Macaca mulatta: one gene and its partner. The protein of the gene in region 1 interacts with the protein of each later gene in a pairwise test. Links are inferred from orthologs where the notes say so. Each region holds a gene or a part of one and is shown in the gene's direction. Other genes may lie near its edges.

Region 1 (7,847 bases):
CGGAGACAGGCCCTTGATGGCAGTGGACAGCTGCCCCCGCCTATTCCCGCCAGCCCAGAGAGCAGCTGCCTGAGCGCCTGCGGGTCCCCTTCCTACCCTCACCTCCACTCCTTGCCGGAGTAGGAGTCTCCTCCCCCGCAGAAAATGCATGAGTGTAAACGCCCCCTCAATACCAGAGTGGGCCTAGACCCCTAGAAAAAGGAGGACGAGCCCCTGCCCCCAGGGAATGAGGGAGTGGGCAGTAGCTCGATGCCTTCTTCCCGCCCCACCCCCTACCCCTACACACACGCTGAGCCCAGCTGCCGCCTGAGCTGGGCAGGCTGCCAGAAAGGGGAGGAGGTTCTCGGTGCCCCAGGAGGCAGGGATCAGGGCAAGGCCAGAGGAGGGGGCTCTGTTGGGGAGAGGGGCTCAGTCTGTTCTTGTGAGGCTGAGGGTCTGGGGTGAGTCTGAGGGTGGCTGGGCTGTGTTTCCCTTTCCAGGGAAAAAGAAAGAAAAACAACCCTGTCCATGGAGCTAAAAATAGAGCTGAGAGCCGGCCAGGGCTGTGGCCTGGAAGGGGGGGATGCTCCTTCCTGGGGCCCGGGCGAGCTCTGGCAGGCCTTGGCCCTGCGGGGGAGGGGGTGGTTAGGGGAGAAAGGCTGTCTTTGCCCAGGGATGCAGGCATCAGCTGACCTGACCGGGTCACCGAGACCCCTAGGGGAAAGGCTGTGCGGTAGAATATTTGCGAAGCATGGCTGTAAGAAGTTGTCTGTGTGAGTGACTGTGAATAGAGGCTGTCAATGCGTGAAAGATGGTTAGGAGACTAAGTGCATTTGAGACAGTGACTGGGTGCGAAGGACTGCGGATTGTTGTGGAAGCCTGTGCCCAACAGGCCTGTGACACCGTGTCTGTGTGTGAGTTGGACTGGAAGATTATGGAAAGAAGGAACGCGGACCCACGTGACAGCTGAGACTGCTTGTGGCTGCGTGGTGAGGCTGCATGTGGGAAAGGTCGCGTGGGTGTTAGGGAGACTGTATTGTGTGCGAGAAGGTGAGAATATTTGCGACCTTGAGAAAGTGGAATGTTGTCTGCCGTGCGGCTCCTGTAGGTTTGGGCTGTAGGCTTGGACCGGTTTGCCCCAGTGATTGTTGGGGAGCCAGGGGCCGCTTCTCTCCGAGAAATGACCTCTGTCTTAGCAAGCGGTCCCGAGGGGAGGCTGGGGAGCACGGGGCCGCGCCAGAGGCCGGCCTGGGTTCGCGGGGAAAAGGGCACCGTACCGGGGAGTGGGTCAGGGCCCGCGTGGTGGGGGGCGGCTGGGTGTGTTCTCCGAGGGGGCCGCCAGGTGGCGCCGCCTCTGCGAAGCCCAGGTTGCCGCCTCCAACCCGCCCCTGGTGAGGCAGGTGCGGACACAGCCTCGGCCTCCGACTCGCGCTAGGGCGCGGGGCCCCGGCACCGGAGAGTGGGGGACGGCCGGTCGTCGACCTCTCTCGCTTGGGACTCTGAGGCTGAGAGCGTGTCAAGGAAGCTTCGCTTGGAGAAGCGGAGGGGGAGGGGCGGCCGCCGCCGTGCCGTGGCCCTTTGTGCTGGAACAATGACCAGCTGCCGCTGGCCCCGGGGCCCCGGCTGGGGCGGAGGGTGACCACCGCCGCCGCCGCGTCGAGCCGAACCGAGCCGCCGGACACGCAGTCACAAGGCGTCGGAGGCAGGGCTCCCGACTGCCGCCGAGCAGCCCCTACGTGCGCCCCGGGCGATTCGCGTGACGCGGGTGCCTGCGCGTGTCCCTGCGCGTGTCCGCGTCCCGGGGCGGAGACGCCCCTCGGACCCTCCCCCGCGCGGCGCCGCCCACTCGCACTGGGCGGGGGCTGGCCAGGGCCGGGGGAGCCGCGGAGGCGGGGCCGGGCCGGGCGGCTCCGAGTGGCGGTACGCGGGCCGGGGCCGGAGCCGGAGCCGGGCGGCGCGCCTGTGGAGCGCTGGGGGCGGCCTAGGGCTGAGCATGGAGCAGCGCGGCGGAGGTGAGGGGGGGCCGGGTCTGGGAGGCGGCCTGGGGAGTCCCCAACTTCTGCGCGGTGGAGTCCAGCCGGGAGACAGCGTTCTCCAGACGCCCCCACTTTGTGGAAGGGGGCCTGGGTTCTGGAGGATGGATCGGGGGCTCCCGGCTTCCCGCCGCCGAATGGGAACTCGTGATCGCAGACTTGACCCCGCTTGACTGGTCCTTGGAGTTTGGGTGGCAGGGAGACTTTCCCCAACTCCAGATCCTTCGCCGGCCCTGAACCAGCTCCAGCCCTCAGCTCCCCTCAGCCCGCTAAAAGGGGGGTGCTCCTGGGCCAGAGTGATTGCTCAGGGAGTGCTGGGGAGAATGAGGGGTTCCCATCTCCCACAGCCACAAACGCATTTCTCAAAATGGAGCCTCCACTTGCCCCTCCTTCTCTCCAAGAGCGGGAGCCGGGCTGGCTGGGCCTGGCTTTCCAGACTCCTGGCTCTGGCTCCCTGGGCGTGTGGCTCTCAGGGCCCAGCTCTGTGGCACTTTGGACTTAGGGGCCCTCGGCTCCGTGGGGTTGGGGGCCCTGGCTCACTGGGTACGCCTGACTGTCTCCTTGTCGGCCTGACCCTCGGGCTTCTCCAAGTCTTTGTCTCTTTTGGGTCCCTGTCTTTCTCTGAGCCTGTCTCCTTCCTTCCGTTTTCACTTTCTCCGTGCTCGCTGAAGTGGGGAAATGCAACAGAGGTGCCAGCCCTTGGCCCCCTAAGAAGTCCTTTCCCCACTGTTCACTCCACGCCCTGGAGTGGGCCCAGAGAGGGGAGGGGAAGGGTTTTTCTATCTGCTCTGCTGGGCGCTGGGATGTGTGGGGTGGTCTGAGCCCCCACCCTGCAGAGGGGCCTGTGATCGCTCCCTGCGCCCGGCCTACCCCTCCCCCAGCTCCCCGCAGCTCCTGCCCCAGCCTGGACACCTCTTCCTGGTTCGCAGTATCTTTTGACTTGGGTGGGAAGGAAGGCGGTGGATTTAATGGAGTGCATGCGAGAAAGAAGGGGAACAGATCAGGCAAAGGAGTTAGATAATGTCCCACCTCTCCCCACATGGCAGAGAGGGAAGGAAACAGGCTCCCCCCACCAATGGGCCCTCAATCCACCCAGGCTCCCACCACTCTCATACCTGCGTGCCCACGTTCACAGGTTCCTCTGCACACCCTGGTGCACTCACCTTCCTAGTCGCACACATACATAGGAGATCACACATAAACTCATGAACTTACTGACAAAGCTGTCCAGGCACCATCTCTCCCACACACCACAAACTCACTTGTTAGATCTGCATTTATAACTTTCACAGGCTTTCTAATGACCCCTTACCCACATACTCTTGTAAGATATACACATGTGAATTCACACATGAACTCATGTATGTGAATGTACTGATACATCAAACATGTGTAGACTCACATTCACGATGCTTTCACGCACATTTTCATATACACGTGTTCATTTCCACGCTCCTGTGCATGTAGTCACACAACAAATAACTAAATGCACACATTCCTACTCCCAGTGCAATTCTCTGTCCAGTTCTTGGCCCTGCTCTGCATGATGACTTCAGCAGATGCCTAAGTCCTGGTCATCAGCGGCCTCGGGACTGGGACTAGGGAGGGGGTTCCGGGTGGAGGCTTGCAGCTGCTTCCAGGAAGGAGCAGGGCCTGGGGAGGTGGAGCCATCTTGCCTGGGTTCTGTGGAAGTGAGGTTTTGGAGCAGCCACTAGAGGTGAAGGCGGGACTTCTACCTTCCTCCCCTCGGGGTTAGTCTGGGGACCTTCTGAAGCTGTAGGGTTTCAGAGAGGTTGGCAATGGGGTAGAGCCTGTGGAGGTTCCTTTAGGCCTCACTGATTGGGTGTGCAGAGGCTAGGAGTTGTCATGGAAAATGTATGAGCCTGCATCTACCTCTGGGAGGCAGGAGACCCCAAAGGACACCTGTGGACTCCCTAAGAGTGGTGGTTTTCTTATTTAGCCGGATCCACAGAGGCAGTTTAGCTGCCTCACTGGGAGAAACTGAGGCCCAGCAGAGGGAGGCAGGGCACTGACTGACTTTGGCTCTTCGTTCCCTAATTACCATCTGAGGTGCTGATTGCACCCCTGAGGTACCTCAGCCCAAACTGCCCACCTGACTTAGAGGACCAGGGACCTGTGCTTCAAGCTGGTAGAGAAGGCCCCTCCCTCACCTGAGTCCTGGCCTCTGTGGGATGCAGGATTGGGCTTAGGCCTGGGTCTTTGCTGACAAGTGGCTCTGCAGTAATCACCCACGCCTCCCATCCCTCTCAGCATCTCTGCTGAGTGGATTCAATCCTCAGCCCTGTTCAGACCAGCATTGGACAGTGTGGTCTGGGGCCCAGGGGGAATTGAGGTTCATTCCAGCACTTGAAGGGGGAGTCTCGGTGGGGATCAAGGCTTGTTACTGATGTCAAGGAGGTGTTTGGTCAGGATCAGTGGGTCAGGAGGGGTCTCTAGGTGGAGGGACTCTGACACCACTGCCCTGCTTACAGGTCACCTGCAAGGCCGCTGGCCAGGCCTGAGCCTTTGCCACCATGGCCATTGTGCAGACTCTGCCAGTGCCACTGGAGCCTGCTCCTGAAGCTGCCACTGCCCCACAAGCTCCAGCCATGGGCAGTGTGAGCAGCCTTATCTCAGGCCGGCCCTGTCCTGGGGGTCCAGCTCCTCCCCGCCACCACGGCCCTCCTGGGCCCACCTTCTTCCGCCAGCAGGATGGCCTGCTGCGGGGTGGCTATGAGGCACAGGAGCCGCTGTGCCCAGCTGTGCCTCCTAGGAAGGCTGTCCCTGTCACCAGCTTCACCTACATCAATGAGGACTTCCGGACAGAGTCACCCCCTAGCCCAAGCAGTGATGTTGAGGATGCCCGAGAGCAGCGGGCACACAATGCCCACCTCCGCGGCCCACCACCGAAGCTCATCCCTGTCTCTGGAAAGCTGGAGAAGGTGAGGACCAGCTCTTCCTTGTGGGCCTGGGTAGAACGGGAGTCCCCCTTGGAAAACTGGAATTTAGAAGCTTATATAGAGGAAAGAGTGTGGGCTCCAGATTCACCAGACCTGGGTCCTAATCCCAGCTCTCTCTCATTCTGCATGTGTGACCTCAGGGAAGTCACTTAACTTGAGCCTCAGTTTCTAGAACTGACGTGAAGGTCAAATAATGTATAGCATAGTGCCTAGCATGTGGCATGTATACAGTTGTTAAGTGCTAGTTGCTTATGTTCTGGTTATTTCTGCACCAGTTATATGTTTGGCTTTGGTCAAGGCCTTTAACCTTGCTGAGCCTCCATTTCCTCATCTGTAATATGAGAATAGTGATCATATTTAGATAATGGGGATAAACCTTTCAGATTGCTTGACACAAAGCTGACACTGGTGGCCACCTCCACCAGTGGCCGCAATTGTTACGAATATATGGGCATTGGGGACCCCAGATGGGAGGGCAGGGAGTGTCATAAGGGTTCTGCAAGATTGGGCAGCTCATCTCCACTGTCACATGGCACCTCATTTCAGAACATGGAGAAGATCCTGATCCGCCCAACAGCCTTCAAGCCAGTGCTGCCCAAACCTCGAGGGGCTCCGTCCCTGCCTAGCTTCATGGGTCCTCGGGCCACCGGGCTGTCTGGGAGCCAGGGCAGCCTGACACAGCTGTTTGGGGGCCCTGCCTCCTCCTCCTCTTCTTCCTCCTCCTCTTCAGCTGCTGACAAACCCCTGGCATTTAGTGGCTGGGCCAGTGGCTGCCCATCAGGGACGCTATCCGACTCTGGCCGAAACTCACTGTCCAGCCTGCCCACCTACAGCACCGGAGGTGCCGAGCCAACCACCAGCTCCCCAGGCGGGCACCTGCCTTCCCATGGCTCTGGGCGAGGGGCACTGCCTGGGCCAGCCCGAGGGGTCCCTACTGGGCCCTCCCACTCAGACAGTGGCCGGTCCTCCTCCAGCAAGAGCACAGGCTCCCTGGGGGGCCGTGTGGCTGCCGGGCTTTTGGGCAGTGGTACCCGGGCCTCCCCTGACAGCAGCTCCTGTGGGGAGCGCTCACCACCACCCCCGCCTCCACCTCCTTCCGACGAGGCCCTGCTGCACTGTGTCCTGGAAGGAAAGCTCCGAGAGCGGGAGGCAGAGCTTCAGCAGCTGCGGGACAGTCTGGACGAGAATGAGGCTACCATGTGCCAGGTGTGGTCAGAGGCAATGATGGGGAAGGGGCATGGCAGGACATCCCAAGGCCTGGGGAATGAAAGGGGCATTTCCATTTTAGCAGGGAAGAGGGGTTGGGTAGTTGTAGTTGTGACCCCCCTGCCCTCCCCACCAGTTGTCTGGTTTAATTTGTGGAATAGCCAGACGTGGTGGCTCACATCTGTAATCCCAGCACTTTGGGAGGCCGAGGTGGGCGGATTGCTTGAGCTCGGGAGTTTGAGACCAGCCTGGGCAACATGGGGAAACCCCATCTCTCCTAAAAATAAATTAGCTGAGTGTGGTGGCATGTACCTGTAGTCCCAGCTATTTGGGAGGCTGAGGTAGGAGGATCACTTGAGCCCAGGAGGAGGAGGTTACAGTGAGCTGACATTTTGCCATTGCACTCTAGCCTTGGGTAACAGAGCAAGACTGTATCTCAAAACAAGAAACAAAAAACAAAACTTGTGGGGTGGAAAGGAGTCAGAGTGCATGGATTCAAACCTCCCACTGCTAAATACCAGTTTTTGGACTTGAGCAAGTTGCTTAACTTTATTCAGCCTCTATTTCTTCATCTATAACAGGGATATTTCTAGCTTCATAGGATTGTTATGAGGATTAAATAAGGCAAAAGGTGTAAAGTGCTTAGACTAATGCCTGGTATCTAGGAAATGCTATACATAAATGCTTGCTTTTTTTTTTTTTTTGAATTTTTAGTAGAGACGGGGTTCCCACCATGTTGGCCAAGCTGGTTTCGAACCCCTAGCCTCAAGTGAGGCACCCGCCTCGGCCTCCCAAACTGCTGGGATTACAGGCCTGAGCCACTGCACCCGGCCAAGTGCTTTTTTTTTTTTTTTGAGACAGGGTCTCATTCTCTCACCCAGGCTAGAGTGCAGTGGCGCGATTTCGGCTCCTTGTAGCCTCAACCTCCTGGACTCAAGCAGTCCTCCCACCCCAGCCTCCCAAGTAGCTGAAACTACAGGCACACGCCACCACACCAAGCTAATTTTTGTTCTTTGGAGAGGCAAGGTTTTGCTGTGTTGCCTAGGCTGGTCTCAAACTCCGGAGCTTAAGTGATCCACCCACCTCGGCTTCCCAAGATGCTGGGATTACAGGCGTGAGGCACCGAGCCCGGTCTGCTTGCTCTTGTGTTTGTTTCTATGATCATTATAAAAGCAGTTAGTATTGTTGCAATTACTATTGTTGTTTGATGGAATACACCCTTCCTGAGCCCTCAGAAGTGGGCCGCCAGGCAGACACTGAGTGGGGAGTTGGGAAAACTGCCCAGGAGCTGGGTCTGTCTTCTCGCCTGCAGGCATACGAGGAGCGGCAGCGGCACTGGCAGCGAGAGCGCGAGGCCCTGCGAGAGGACTGTGCAGCCCAGGCACAGCGGGCACAGCGGGCCCAACAGCTGCTGCAGCTGCAGGTGTTCCAGCTGCAGCAGGAGAAGCGGCAATTGCAGGATGACTTTGCACAGCTGCTGCAGGAGCGTGAACAGCTGGAGCGGCGCTGCGCCACCTTGGAGCGGGAGCAGCGGGAGCTCGGGCCAAGGCTTGAGGAGACCAAGTGGGAGGTGGGCCAGACCAGGAGGGGCAGGGAGCAGGGTCACACAGGGAGAAACCCTGGAAAAAGGGGCCCAGCCGCACCCTCCCTCAGCCTGCCACCCCCAGAG
Region 2 (7,847 bases), on another chromosome or scaffold:
GCCAAGATAGAGCCGTTGCTCTATCTCTAGCCTGGGCAACAAGATAAAACTCCGTCTCAAAAAAAAAAAAAAAACAGGCCAGGCACCGTGGCTCACGCCTGTTTCTTTGAGAACATTGTAGTGCAAGTCTTCTGGTGATAAATTACTTAAAATTTTGTTTTTGAAAGGTATTTTCACAAGTACAGAATTTAAGGTTGCCAACTTTTTTCTTTCCATACTTGTTTGCTTTTTATTCCTCTAAGAAATCTGTTATCATCTTTGTCTTTATTTTTTATATGTAATGTGTCCTTTTTCTCTACTTTTGAGATTTTTGCTGTATCATAATTTTAAGCAATTTGTTTATGATGTTTTGACTTTATTTGGTATAGTTTTCTTCATGTTTTTTGTGTTTCATGTTCATTGAGCTTCTTGGATCTCTGGCTTTATGCTTTTTCTTAAATTTGGAAAAATATTGGCCATTATTTCTTCAAATATGTTTTCTGTCCCTCCTCCAATCTGCTTTCCTTTAGGGACTGAAATGACATATATATTAGGCAACTTGAAGTTGTGTTGCAGCCCACTGATTTTTTTTTTGTTTTTGATAATTTTTATTGCTATGTCTACAAATTCATCTTTTCAGCTGCAGTTTCTAATCTGCCATTAATCCCACGCATTTTCATCTTCACACATAATTTTTCTATCTAGAAGTTCCATTTGGGTCTTTTTTATTTCTTCCATGTCTTTATGTAACTTTTTAAACCGATAGAATACAATTATTATAACTGTTTTAATGTTTTTATTTGCTAACTTAACATCTGTGTCAATTCTGGGTCAGTTTTGATTGATTGATTATTCTCATTATGGGCCATGTTTTCCTGCTTCTTTGGATGCTTGGTAATCTTTGGATATTAGACTTTGTGAATTTTACCTTGTTAGGTATTGATTATTTTAGTATTCCTATGAATATCCTTGAGTATTGTCCTCTAGTGCAATCAAGTCAATTGGAAACAGTTTGATCCTTTTAGGTCTTACTTTTTATGATCTGTGTGGTGATCTGAGCAGTGTTCAGTCTACAGCTAATTATCAGCCCTACTGAGATAAAAGACTTCTGAGTATCTATCTAATGCCTCATGAATTAGAAATTTTTTCAGTCTGATTGCTGGCAACAGGCACCAGCCTTATGTGAGCACAAAACACTGTTCCCTGTAACTTCGTTGAAGGATTCTTTCTCCAGACTTAAGTAATTTTCTTACGCACATGCTAATCAGTATTCTGTCCCTAGACTTAAGGGTGTCCCTCTGCTAATCTCTTGGTTCCTCTGTCTCTGGAGCCTTCTCCTCTTCAGTAATTTGTTCTGTCAGTTCTAGTCACCTTGGTCTCCCCAAATTCTCAACTCTACTTCCTCAACTCAGGTAGTCCACTGGGGTAACTTCTGGGTGCCCTCTCCCTGTGCTGTTTCCTGGAAACTCTCTCAAAGCAATAAACTGGGGTGATTTATTTTTTCCATCTCTCAGGAATTGCTCTCTCATTGCTTGTCTTGTTTCTTGAAACCATTGTTTTATCCTTTGTTCTGTGGGCTGTTTATTTGTTTGTTTTGGGTTATTTCAGGCCAGAGGGTAAATGTAGTTACTATTACTTCATCTTGGCCAGAAGTAAAAGTTGTAACAACAGTTATTTGTTTTCTACCTCAGGGTCAGTTGGGCTTCAGCTGATTTAATCTGGGGTCATTGAGAACTGTTTGGGCTAAGCTAATTTCTACTGGACTTTATATATATATGTACATATAAATACATATGTATGTGCTAAGCTAATTTCTACTGGACTTTATATACGTACATATGTATGTGTATAATACACACATATACATTTATGTGTGTGTGTGTTTATATATACATGTGTATGTATGTGTGTATATGTATGTGTACATATATGTGTGTCCATATACATAAAGAAGGTTTAATTTAGTTGAAAGTAGAAATCAGCAGGTCAGTAGTAGCCACCATAATCTTGGGATATAATACTACTAATTTCAAAGAAATTATGGTATAGTGTTGAAATGTATATTTCTAAAAATAACTATGTAAATTATCATTTAACATCTTTGTTTTTTATTTTAAAATTAGAAGACAATGAATGTAAAACTATGCAAGAATCACAGGAAACCCACATATCCAACCACCTAGATGAAGTTGTTGCTGCTGTTAGCATCACTAATAGTAAGAAGTTCCAAAACAAGCTGCCTCAGACAGCACTATTCCAGCCTCCTCGAGAGAAACTCCACCTCTGTGAAGAGAAAGCAAAGTCTTATTCCAACAGTCACGAAGTAAGGAGACTTTTGTTTCTGTATTTCTACTCTGGGATTTGAGCTATAAGGTATAATCAAGAGAAGTAGAATGTTTTGGATTACATTTCTAATCTCAGCAGTTTGGTACAAGAGAGTGTGTAAGACAGTGCCTTTGTTATAACATGAATGAATGTAGTATCTCTAGGCTCCAAGCACAGCGGCTGGCACAGCCAACAACAAATATTTATTGAGGTCCCACTGTGTGCCAAGTCTGGGCACTGGGATACAACACAAACAAAGCAGATGAAGCTTCTGCTCTCATAGAGCTTATAATTCCTTATAATCTCAGATCTTGTTCTCTGCATGCTTCTTTCCCATTCTTTCCTTGAAAGTTTTACTCACTCACTAACTCATTCAGTAGGCATTTCTCTGTCACCTCTTATGTGTTGGGTCCTGTTCATCCATTCATCATAAATACCTATTGTATGCCTAATATGTGCCAGGTGCCATGTAGGTACCAGGGGCACAGAAAGAAAAGCCACAGTCTTTGTCTTGGAGGGACTCAGGATTTGGTTGGGAAGATAGATGGGGGACAGATAATGGTAGTCAGTTTGGTAAGTTCTGTGAGAGCTCGAGTGACATAGATACAAAACAGAAAGGGGTGGGCAGTGAGCCTGGAGGTGGTAGAGGGACAGCAGGTAAAGCACACTTTCTTGGGATGGGAGTTACGTAGACTGCATTAGTAAACAGTGCTTAGGAGTTGGACAGGTGATGAAGAGGACCAAAATGTTCTGGACAGAGGTAGCAGATAGACAAGAGCCAAAGGTCTGAGGGAGTGCAGTCTGTTTGGAGAACTATAAGGAGCTGTCTGGGACTAATGTGTTAGTGACACAGGGCAAGATATGAAGCTGGATTATGGGCAGGAACTGAGGCCCAGAGGGCACTCAAGGCCTAGTGAAAGAGTTTTGATTTTCCCCTGAAGATGATGGAGGATTACCATGAGGTTATAAGTAGAAGCATGCCATGAGCAGGTTTGATTTTAAGAACAATCACTCCCATAGCTATGAAAGGTATGGACAAAAAAAGAGTAAAACTGGAAGAGGAGCATCAGTTAGGAGGATATTTGCAATAATCCTCCAATAATGAGGACCTGAACAACACGTGGCAGAGGCAATAGAAATGCTGAGCTCTTTTGAAAGGAATTTAGAAATGAAGTCAGTGGGACAGGACTGGATGACTGAGGGGACATAGGGAATGGGGATGTGAGAGTGAGAAAGATGGGGTGTGTAGAATTCCTACCACCCAAGGTCTGAGTCTGCTTGGATGATTGGAGACTTGCCCATGACCTTCATCAGTATAGTGAATACAGGAGAAAGACCAGGATTATAGAGAAAGAGCACAAATTTGGTTTTGAGGTTGTACTTGTTCATTATGCAACAGATACTCGGTACCTACTATTTGTAGGCTCTAGGCTGGCAGCCTTTCTCAACCAGACTTCTGCAAAAGAATTAAGCCCTCATGCCCAAAGGCATTTAACAAATGTAAAGAATTAACTTATTTTCTGTGTATCTAGAATGGTATTAAACATGTCGTTGTTCTGTGGTTCTGGTGAAGAATCCAGGATACAATGGTGAATAGGACAGACAAGGTACATACCCTGATGGACCTGAGAGGCGATCGACGTTGTAAATGGACCAGATTCTTATAGACTGTGATAAGTGCTAAGGAGGACATAGAGTGGCTCTGTCTTGGGTAGCGTGATCAGGGAGGGCCTCCAGGAAGATAAGGTGAGACCTGAGGAAGAGAAGGAGCCAGTGTGGAGGAGCTGAGGGAAAAGAGTTCTAGGGAGAGGAAATAGCACACATAAAGCTACAAGGTAGGCACAAGCAGGACATATTTGAAGCAAGGAGAAGAAGCTGCAAGCTGACATTAAACATAGTGAGAGAGGCTGTCAGTTCACTTACGGCCTTGCAGGTTTCCAGCTAAGTGCCCTGGAAGGCCTTAAAAATATTTTCAGCAAGGTATTAACATGATGTAATTTACTTTTTAAAATATCAGGTTTTTGGTAATTTTGTATTTTAAAGTAATTTCTGACTTACAGAAAAGGCACAAGATTCACTCATTGTTAACATTTGCTGTGTTGCTTTGTTCTCTGACTCTCATTGTTTTTCTGAACTGAGAGTAAGTTATAGATATTATGGCCCTTTACCCCCAAATTCTTCAGTGTTTATTCCCTAAGAATAAAGCTATTCCCTTACATAGCCACGGTACAGTGATCGTAATTAGGAAATTAATGTCAGTATAATACTATTATCTAATCTGTAAACCTTGTTTATATTTCTTCTTAATAATGTCCTTTACAGAAAATAATCAGACCCATGGTTCAGTCTGTGAATTCATGCTAAATAGAGTTGTTATGTCTCTTTAGTCTCCTTTAATCTGAAACAGTTGCTTAACCTACTTTGTTTTTCATGATCTTGATATCTTGGAAATATGTACTCTAATTGTTTTGTAGAATATCTTTCCTTTTGAGTTTGTCTTATGCTTCCTCATGATTCTATTCAGATTGTACATTTGGAGCAGGAATACCACAGGTGTGACATGGGGCGCTCCTTAGTGCGTCCTGTCAGGAGGTGCAGAATGTCTATTTGTCTCGTGACAGTGATGCCAACCTTGAACATTTGGTTAAGGTGCTGTGTGGCAGGTTTCTTTACTGCAGAATTGCTATTTTTCCCTTTGTAATTAATAAGTATTTTGTGGGGAGATTCACTGAGACTATGTATATATTTAAAACTTCACTCCGTCAGTTTTAGTGTTCACTGATGATTTTCACCTGAATCAGTTATTACTATGATGTTTGTCACAGAGCCAGTCGCTGACTTCCACATGCTTTCAACATTTGTTTGTTGGCATTCTATTATAAGGAAGAGCTTTTCTTTCTTCACAGCTTATTTATCATTCATTTATTCCTATCAGTATGGGTTCAGGAAATTGTATTTTTCAAATACACTACAACCTATTGTTTTCTTGGAAGCTCAGATTATTCCATATCTGCCAATGGGAGACCCTTCAAGCTGACTCCTGAGTCCTCAATCCATCCCCTCATTGTTTAACCACTTCCTGATGCTACCACTTGCTGGTAAATCATCTCAACTTTCCAGCCTTATATTCCTTCATCTTTAAATTGAGGGGACCAGATTAGATTATTTCCAAGGCTCCTCCCAGTTTTGAAATTGCCTTGCTACTTCATACTTGTCTTCTGTCTGCCCCTTACCAATGCCTATTGCTAAAGCCACTGGGACTGGTAGAATAAAGGTTGGAAAACCAATAGGGATATTTGGACCATGCCTTATAACATAAGGAAGTGAAGGGAGGGCAAGCTGTTTCTTGTATACCTCTAACCCCGCTCAGGTCCTGAGAACCAAGGTTATTATCAGGGAAGCCCAACTCAGCCTGCACAGTCCTCTTTGCTGGAAATCTGTATTTGGGACAGATTCACTATCAAAACAGATCTCCCTCTTTTTTCTGTCTGGATTCCGTGATGTTGTCGTCATTTCCTTCTCTTTCATACACTGTAGTTGTTGTTCTCTTTCTCTCTCTCCAAAGAAGTCATTCCATAAACTTCCTGTGTCTAGAGGCAATAAAAAGGTGATTCCCAAAAGAAGTACAAACAGCCAGCTAACACATGAAGACGTTCAGCCTCATCAATTTGGGGGAAAAATGTGGACCAAATCCAGAAGAAATGGGCCAACTGACAAATTGACAAACTAAAACCAAAACAAAAATTCCACAATTTGTACTCGGTTCAACATAAGGGGCATTTCTGCTCACATATGATGTGTTGAAAGTATGAACTGGTGCAACCTCTTGGAGAGGTACTTCACCAATAGCTACTCACAGCCTCAGAATTTTGCATATCCTTTACACAACGATCCCATTTGGAGGAATTTATTTTGTGGGAATGTTTATGGGTGTGTGCAAAGGTATCCATACGGGATATTCAGTGAGTAAAAAATTTGCAGACACCTAAATGCCCAATAAAGAGTGGATTGAGTAATACGGTTATGATATAATCATATAATAAAATACTGTAGAGCCATTCAAACTTATATCATAGAAGATGACATGAGAAGTTATTCATATATTGTTAAAACAGCAGACTGTAAACCTGCAAGTAGCTTATGAACCTATTTTTGAAAAAGAAAAAATAGCCAGGCGCAGTGGCTCACACCTGTAATCCCAGCACTTCGGGAGGCTGAGGCGGGCGGATCGTGAGGTCAGGAGATCAAGACCATCCTGGCTAACAAGGTGAAACCCTGTCTCTACTAAAAATACAAAAATTAGCCGGGCATGGTGGGGGGCGCCTATAGTCCTAGCTACTCGGGAGGCTGAGGCAGGAGAATGGCATGAACCCGGGAGGTGGAGCTTGTAGTGAGCGGAGATTGTACCACTGCACTCCAGCCTGGGTGACAGAACGAGACTCCGTCTCAAAAAAAAAACAAAGAAAAAAGAAAAAGAAAAAATATATAGATTCATAAAAATAAAGAATAAAGGGATATTTAGCTGCCTAGATATCTCTAGGGGGTAAACTTACAGGTGATTTTTAGTTTTTATCTTTTTGCTCGTCCGTATTTTGACAATGAGCATACATTATTTTTGCAGTAAGAAACATGTTACTATAGAAAAAAAATGCCACAGTCCACCTTCTTTCAGCACTTTATGGTGAGCATGTATTCCTTAGCTTCCTCCTGCTAGGTCACAAAAGTGACTCTTCTTTGGCCAACTGTCTGGCTGTGTATTTTTGTCTAGAAAAATGTTGTTTTAGGGTGAAGGTATTTCCAATGCATGGAGGAATTGTGTGGAAATGCAAGTCCTTTGAGCTTTGACATTGATGGGGGTGCATCCTAGGGGCATCCTGGGTCTTCTCCACAACTCCATCGTTGTTCTTACCTTTCTTCCTCTGCTTTGACCCCTTCAGCTTTCTTTCTTCAGCCATCTCTCTTGCTGTTCTGACTATCTGCTGCTGCATAACACCCCAACAACTTAGTGTCTTAAAACAAAAAGAGCGATTCATTTTCTCATGAGCTTGCAGTTTTTGCAGAGCTCAGTGGGGTTTGCTCAGCTTTGTTCCACACAGCATCAGCTGGTCTTGAAAGGTCTGGAGAATCTGGTGCCAAAATGGTTCACTTTCTATGTGGGTCTTTCTATGTGGGTCTTCTCTCCACGGGGCCATGTTGGCTTCCTCACAGCACTGTGGTTGGGTTCTGTATTAGTTTGTGGTGCTGACATAATAAAATTCCACACATGCTGTGGCTTAAAGAACAGAGTTTATTTCCTCACAGTTCTGGAGGCTGGAAGTCCAAGATCAAGGTGTGAGCAGGGCTTGATTTCATTCTAAAGCCTCTCTCCTTAGTTTGTAGATGACTGCCCTCTTGTTGTATTCTCACATGGTCATTTCTCCATGTGCATGCCCATCCCTGGTGTCTTTTCCTCTTCATATATAAGGATACCAGCTGTATTGGACTAGGGTCCGCCCTAACACCTTGTTTGAACTTAAATCACCTCTTTAAAGACCTCATCTCCA

What was found.
Region 2: the proteins of LZTS2 (region 1) and TTC23 interact in binary tests that used the Homo sapiens proteins (3 or more experiments, as listed by UniProt). The two-hybrid records come from large-scale screens. The link is inferred for Macaca mulatta from reciprocal best matches to the Homo sapiens genes LZTS2 and TTC23.

Annotation. Positions count from the first base shown.
Region 1 is NC_133414.1:113,061,533-113,069,379, forward strand, and holds part of LZTS2 (leucine zipper putative tumor suppressor 2), read left to right. Parts: intron 1-599; exon of another isoform or gene 600-1,029; intron 1,030-1,885; exon of another isoform or gene 1,886-1,991; intron 1,992-3,972; exon of another isoform or gene 3,973-4,102; intron 4,103-4,504; 5' UTR 4,505-4,546; coding exon 4,547-4,954; intron 4,955-5,518; coding exon 5,519-6,178; intron 6,179-7,490; coding exon 7,491-7,748; intron 7,749-7,847. UniProt on the Homo sapiens protein: Negative regulator of katanin-mediated microtubule severing and release from the centrosome. Required for central spindle formation and the completion of cytokinesis.
Region 2 is NC_133412.1:89,484,875-89,492,721, reverse strand, and holds part of TTC23 (tetratricopeptide repeat protein 23), read left to right. Parts: intron 1-2,102; 5' UTR 2,103-2,122; coding exon 2,123-2,302; intron 2,303-7,847. UniProt on the Homo sapiens protein: Participates positively in the ciliary Hedgehog (Hh) signaling.